2 linked regions of the Tribolium castaneum genome follow. The protein of the gene in region 2 binds, or shares a complex with, the protein of the main gene of each other region. Links are inferred from orthologs where the notes say so. Each region holds a gene or a part of one and is shown on either strand. Other genes may lie near its edges. The genes, in order: Polr2J and TfIIEbeta.

What was found.
Region 1: TfIIEbeta (region 2) and Polr2J share a complex: the UniProt entries of both Homo sapiens proteins name them as parts of the TBP-based Pol II pre-initiation complex. The link is inferred for Tribolium castaneum from reciprocal best matches to the Homo sapiens genes GTF2E2 and POLR2J.

What each region holds. Positions count from the first base shown.
Region 1 is NC_087395.1:21,130,897-21,133,754, reverse strand, and holds Polr2J (DNA-directed RNA polymerase II subunit RPB11), read right to left. Parts: upstream 1,388-2,858; 5' UTR 1,145-1,387; coding exon 1,092-1,144; intron 1,037-1,091; coding exon 947-1,036; intron 897-946; coding exon 686-896; 3' UTR 641-685; downstream 1-640. Other genes in the region: mitogen-activated protein kinase 1, read left to right, coding at 1,686-1,813. UniProt on the Homo sapiens protein: Core component of RNA polymerase II (Pol II), a DNA-dependent RNA polymerase which synthesizes mRNA precursors and many functional non-coding RNAs using the four ribonucleoside triphosphates as substrates.
Region 2 is NC_087396.1:10,271,546-10,276,051, forward strand, and holds the start of TfIIEbeta (general transcription factor IIE subunit 2), read right to left. Parts: upstream 2,919-4,506; 5' UTR 2,804-2,918; coding exon 2,742-2,803; intron 2,687-2,741; coding exon 2,585-2,686; intron 2,531-2,584; coding exon 2,368-2,530; intron 2,317-2,367; coding exon 2,116-2,316; intron 1-2,115. UniProt on the Homo sapiens protein: Recruits TFIIH to the initiation complex and stimulates the RNA polymerase II C-terminal domain kinase and DNA-dependent ATPase activities of TFIIH. Both TFIIH and TFIIE are required for promoter clearance by RNA polymerase.

The sequences.
Region 1 (2,858 bases), on a different chromosome or scaffold from region 2:
TGTTATTAATAATTTATTTAGCAAATTAATAAATATCTTGTAAAAATTTCTAGTTAATATTTATTTGACACAAATTAGTTGTTTTGTAAGTTATCCGTTGATGAGGTTAATTGTAAATAAAGGATTGTGAATTAAATAAAAATATATTTTTCTGTTAATAACAGTTACATGCTCGTTTCTTTCTTCAACCACTATAATTATAATTAAGTCAGAAAAAATTTCTGGAAAGGTAAACAAAAATGAAATTGTTCTTAAATACCTAAATGACATAACGGTGCAGTCAGAATTATTTTCAAAATTTAGCCAAAAATCATCCAAGTTTTAAAGTATTTTTGAGGTTTTTTTTTTAATTGAAAACTCACTTTCGATATACAGGCTAATTTTTAAATAGACCGATAAAATTTTATTACTCATGGTGGAGCTCGCAAAACGGACAGCCTGTGTACACGGATCACTGAGGTTTTACTGTATTTACGTAAGTGCTTTAAAGCACAGACTTTGCCACCTTTTAATAAATCTTAAATAGCTTATTTTGAATAAAAATTGAAAACGAATTATTAACCATCATAAATAAACAAGTCATTTTAAACTTTTGACGCTGGGACGCAAGACATATTTTTGGGTACATAACAAAGACTGATTTATCGAAGCATAAACTTTATTATTAGTGAATAAATTCAAATACTTAATCTAAACCTTCTTTCTTTTCCTTGATCGCTTCCTTAAAACGTTCTTCAAACAAAGACAACTCTGAAATCAAATCTGTGATAGAATTCATCAAAGCTTCTTGAGGCGAATAATCAGATGTTGTTTGAATTCTCAACACAAATTTATGCTCAAGTGGATGAGGCACCTTGTATCCAGCAAACAAAACGTTCGGATCTTTTAACAATTGGCTAAAAAATCAAAAATAATTCAACCTAAACCTTAATGTTTTGTTACACACTTTCTGATCATGTTTCCCAACGTGTGGTCTTCTTTGTTTATGGTAAAAATAGCCGCGTTTGGCACTTTTGTGTCTTGTTCCCTTATTATCCTAAAAACACAATTTGTAAAAATAAATTTTTGGTCCAGAGAATTTGCCCACTCACTTTTTCTCTCCATCATAGAGCAAAAATGACTCGAAGGTTGGTGGCGCATTCATCCTGAATGGAAATACTGTTCACTGAGCTTTTTAAACCGCTTATTAATTTTTAACAACTTTTTATTAGTGCGTCACTTTTTTGTGGGTTATGTCACCTGTCCTGTCATCTGTCAAAAACCAAATATCGGAATTTTTTATTTTTCTGTTTAAAAACTTATCGAACGTCTAATAGGGTATTACAAATGCCGCCAAAATGAAAATTGTAGCCCTATTGTGGGTTCGATAATGGAAAATAAAATTAGGGTGCTTCCCGACTAGTGTTCAGTTGGTCCACCAGGGGGCGCGTTATTTGGCTATCTTTTCTGGGAATAAATTCGTTTTAAAAACCAAAAAAGCCTCAAATTTGGAAAAATCCACGTGAAAACGTTACTAACGAGTCTACAATTAGTTGGAGTTTGAAAAAATTGGTAATAAGTGTGAATAATAACGATCTGATATCAGCTGATAAATATTAGGGATCGGCTCCTCTCTGCTTCAGTCTGTGGCTTCAGTGTGCGTGAGTTTGTCATCGAGGAAGGTAGTTTAGGAGGTTTCGCTAAAAATGGCGGAAGCCACAGGTGTATCAAGTGTAAATCCGAATGCAGAAGTTGTAAGGGGTCAGGTATTTGAGGTGGGCCCCCGTTACACGAACTTATCATACATTGGAGAAGGCGCATACGGAATGGTCGTGTGAGTAAATTTTCCTTATCATTAGTCGCTGTGGTTTTCTAACTTACACGCCCTAAAATTGCGGATATTGTTCCAGTTTCAGTAACTCGATCATTTTTTAGTTTTACCGGTTTTGTACAAAAAGAAAAATGTTCATAAAGTTGGCGGTGGCTTGTCAAATGGTTTTTTCATTAGAGGTTGAGGTTATGTATACATAACTTCCTGTCATTAGTTTGGAAGAAATCGATGTTTTAGGACGGTAGCCTGGAGACAAGTGATTTATTTAAAGTTTTTGGCTGATTTCGGGCTTTTCCGAAATTGATTCATTGGCTCCGAGTTTCATACATGAAACAATTTGCTATTTTTAACTAACAAAACATTTAAAAACGTCAAATTATTTTATTTTTAGAAGACAACACCGACTACTTTTCGGTAATTTTAGCCTAATTGTTAGAATAAATTGGTATGATTATTATTTTGTGACTTTTTTCTTATTTTCTGTTTTTTAGTTTTATTGTTTTTGCATATTATGCTAAAATGAAATAATTTATTCATTAATTGTTGACAGTAGCACTTATTTGGTATATCAACTAACTTTTTTTATTAATAATTAATATTGTATTATTACTACTATATATTATACTTATTATAGATCCTACATTTAAAAAACATTGAAGTTATCTACGCTTACAAATTTTTAAAAAAATTGTTGGGTACCTTATTAAATACAGTGTGTATCACACAATTTTAAGAGACCTGTTTTTAAAGTGCTCATCCAAATACCATGCGATTTACTAAACTTTTGATCTAGTTATTCATGACAGTTAACGTTATTACGTTAACCCGATGTCCATTACGGAAGAAGGTTCCAACCTGGATTCCAACATAATTTTTTTGTTCTTTGCTGAACATTTTGGACATAGTGACAGATAAAGCAATGCTGAAGATATTTACGCAATTCGTTTCTGCTGGCGAAACTCATGGTAACTAGATCAAAATTTAAAAAAATCGTATTGTACAAGGTGTATACAAATAGTAATCTCACGGAAATCAGCGTTTGGTATTA
Region 2 (4,506 bases):
TATCATCAGAAATCTTCATGACAAAATAATTTTTTTACCAAAAATAAATTAAAATTTGACCTATTGTTTCCAAAGTGAAAAAAAAGATTTTGTTGATGCTTCACTAAATTCAGTTCATAGAATTAACACCATAATTGTTTGTATGAATAATACTAGGATACAGAAATATCGTGTTTTACATCTTCTAGTCTTTAGTTGCTTTTGCCCTCTCTTTCTCTTGTCCCGCACTTGACTGTGGGAGATTCTCGGCGGCAAATTTTGTCAAAATGAATATTCGCGATTCGTTCAAAACTACAACAAAATTTTTCGTTTTTTGGACGCATTCTGTTCGTACCATCACTGTGCATCTTTCCCGTACACATTTTTAAAAATATTATGAATATTTGTTTAAACTTTTAATAAAAAAATATCAAATAATTTTTTTTCAAAGTCTTACGTTGTCTCAAATTATAATTATTTAAAAGAGTCAATTCCATTTTTCGATTTAAAATTGGATTACAAATATCGCCAAAAGTAGAAAAATAAATTTCATTACTACTTGTCTTTGCCACACACTTGGTTTAACTCTGTCGTCCCCTTTAGCCTTATAGTGACCTATTATCCACTAGTGGAATAAACTAGGAATTATGACTACCAGACAAAGCCTGCCAAGATTAATTTTACGATTGTGGATAAAACATTGTATTGCATTCATGTTTTAGTCGCATTTTATCCACTTGAGAATATTAAACATTCTTGCGTGGATAAAATGCTTTCGAAAACACTTATACAATAAATAGCTATTAAAAAATCTGCGAAACCAAGGGCCGTATGAATACAATTGAGTAAATGCTTTTACTTCAAATTTTGCAAGTAAATGTTCTAAATTGTATGAGTAAAAATGTAAGTATAAGTTTTTACTAAAAGTAAAAGCACACTGGGCGAGTATTTGCTTGAACGTCGAGGTTTTACTCAAAACAAAATGAATAAAACAAAGTAAATGCTTTTTTCGTTGAGGATTTAGTTCAAAATTGTTGACGCTAATCAGTAGGAGCATCAATTTTTAAAAGTAACACCTCAAACTCGAAACAATGGTGGGTGTTGTGCAACTATGGGTAAGAAAAACTTATAAACAACCTCGCGAACACATAGGATAAGATTTTAAGACTTTATATCGGTTTGAACGAAAAAATCTTCGTGCTTTGGCTAGGTATTTTTTGAGTGAGAACAACGAAATGGGAGGAGATGGAAATCCATTTTAAAAATTACAACATTGAAAACTTCACTACAATGATTTATTTTGAGAGCAGATTCTCCAAAAAACTAAAGAAGTAAAAGCAAGAGCAAATGCTTTTCCTTTATACTCATACTTTAAGTAAATACTTCAACTTTATTCATACGACCCCATATCTACATCTTCAACTATTTAGGCCCCAAAAATGTTTAAAAATGCTCACACAGCGGTTTCGTTTCATTTTATGGTCAAGTATTGGAAAATTAATTTATACCTAAACCAATGAAGATGTGGCGGACTTTTTTGTAGGAAATTTAATTCTCTACATCTATGCTTCTTACACATCTTTAGTTGAATTCGCAGCGTTTTCATATATATAAATATGCGATTTTTTGACACTGTTTTCAATAAAGTGTTTCCACTATCTTAATCTCTGACTCTTTCTGTATTAAGTTTTTAATTTAAATTAAAAGTGCAAAAAAATATAAACATTTATTATCAATTTGCAATCCGCGTTATAATTTTTAAAACATAGCGAATACGTTTAAAGGTATAAAGAAGTGTGAAGAACAAAGTTGTAAAGAAAAATAGTCGCGGACTTTTTTGTAGAAAATTGATTTTTCTACTACTTTGTTCCTAACATTTTTCTTGTATCTTTAACCAAATTAACAGCGTTTTAAAAATATGGGTCACACTGCAAATTAATATGTTTGAAATTTTTGCATTATTTTTAGTTGTTACTCTTGAAAATTTAATGCTCTATGTGCCTGTATTTTTTTGAATTGTGTTAATAGTTATTTAAATAGTCAACTGGGCTTTTTGGCGACATTACCGAAAATATTGAAGTCGGAGACGTTTTATTTGTACGTCGTTCGTTTAGAAAATAACTAAAAGAATGATACCTTCAAAGCCTTTTCGCAGTGTGGTAACGACTCTTGCACGTCGTCTAACAACACACCGCCTAACCCTTTCAAATCTTGTTGTTTCAATAGTTTCAGTAAGCTTTTCCTGTCTTTAAGTTTATATGGAGCTTTGAATAAAAATTTTCCGTCAGGAGTGACCTCAATTTTAGGATTATCGACTAACGCTTCGGTTTGCAGCCACTTAAATCAACACCATTACATTTAAGTATTGTAATAATGACACAAAATTACTTGCTTGACTTTATTCCCTACGTCTAATTGATTAGTTTCGTCTAAAATTTCCTCTAATGTGAGTGGATATGTTTCACCTTCTTGGTGTCTCTTCCTCATATGTTTCACGATTTTAGCGAGAACACCGAATCGATATTGCGAACTTCCTGTTGCTGTTTTGTATCTAAAAAAAAATCACAAAGTAATTGATTCAAATTTGCAATGTTTTGCTGCTTACGTGTTGATATCAAGTTTAGGGGTGCTACTACTAGAAGACTTAAACCTTTTGCTATCATCGCGAGTTGGTTCTGGTCTTGAATCAGTCTTTTTTCTTTCTACACTGAAAGTAGAACAAAATTAACTGAATAAGTTGACAAAATGCGAATGCTACTTACGTAGGAGTTGTAAGTGCACGTTTTTTGAATAATTCTCTTTCTTTTAGTAAGGCGGGGTCCATTTTATTGGAGAAATAATAAATAAATAATACGAACTATGTTGTTTGAGGAATAATCATCTGTTTTCTTTTGCATTTGACATTCACGGCTGTCAAAGTGACAAGTGGTGGGGGACCGATGCCTTGCGCTGTCTGTCTTTTGTGGCCGACTGTTCCTTGAACCGAATTTTATATATTTTTTTGCAATATTATTATTTAATTAATTACTAATTATAGAAATATGTAGTAATAATCGTTGTTAATTAACTCTAGTTTTTAATCGGATGTGATGCCAACTACTAGCTTGCTGTGTGGAGGTTTTTTGGTTTTTGTTTTACAATGCAAGCTGTCTCAAAATTTGCGAATTTCGAGTTCAGAGCATTGTAAAGATAGTAAAGAATCGCTTCAGTAGTCCAAATGTAGAAACCAAATGAAGATTCGGGGCTTCCCCATTACTTTGGTTTGAAGATCACTTTCTCTTTGCACTGCGTTTTCTTCAAATACGGACTAAAAGTTTAAGTGTTTATTCTTATTTATGGTGAAGATGATTGTTGAGAATAATAATGTAAAACGATTGTCGATTTCTTAAAAAATAGCTTTATTTTGGTGTAAAAAAATTAAGTTTTTGTAATTTGTTGTTACATTTTTAAGAAAAATTAAACAAGTTGAATGAATAAAATATTTTTTCTAAAAAAATTACACAATTTTTTAATTAGTTTTAAATTATTATTTTCTACAATCATCTAAGAACACCATAAATAACAATAAACACTAAAATTTTTAGCCCGCGTTTGAAGAAAACGCAATTCAAAGTAAATCTTCATTTTGTGTCTTCTCATACATTTAAGCTACGGAACTCTACAACGCTCTGAACTCGGAATAATTCGCCAATTTTGAGACAATTTTGTCCCAGCTAAGACTACCTGGGGCAGTGCGTAATTTGGGGGTGGCAATTGCCATCCAAAATTGTTCAGCTCAACATTATTTGTAATATGGAAGAATGAAAAAACAAAATTATCCAAGAAAGAGCCGACATTTTTGTTGAAGGGCTATGAAAAGTATGTTCCCTCTACTTTTTGACCTTTATATGTTTATTTTTTGCGATTCCAATAAACACAACATCTTGTGAGAGGTCTTTTTCTCGCTTGCGGCGGTTGAAAACGAACACTAGGAAGATTGGCCAAGAAAGGTTGTCTTCATTATCTCTTTTGGCTATCGAAAGAAGTGTTAATGTTGACATTTTCAAGGTAATTGATATCTTTGATACGAACCTTCACTTCACTTTGCTTAAAAAATAACTTATAATAATAACTAAAATTTGAATAAACCTTTGTTTTTTTTTATGTTTGTTTCATTTACATGAAAAAGATCACGAATTAAAAATTGGTCTACAGTAGGCCCATTTAAGAGTATCTCTTAAGTTGCGTCTAACTACCTAACATTACACATTACCTAATTAACAGTGAATCTTTAAAAAACAAAAAGATTCATAGGTACATAGCTACAGGTATTTCAGCAGTTTTAATTTCCGTTAATTTTTCTGCGATACGCGAAGAAGGTACATTTTTATATTTCATTTAGTATTTTCTTCAAATTTCAAAAGATATTTTTTTAAAACAACTCGTTAAATGTTGAGTTAAATTATGAACGTCTTTTGAGCCAATTTCTTAATCTTCTAGGTTGCTTTTTAATCCAGAAATTTTCATTTCCATTTTTGAATTTTACCG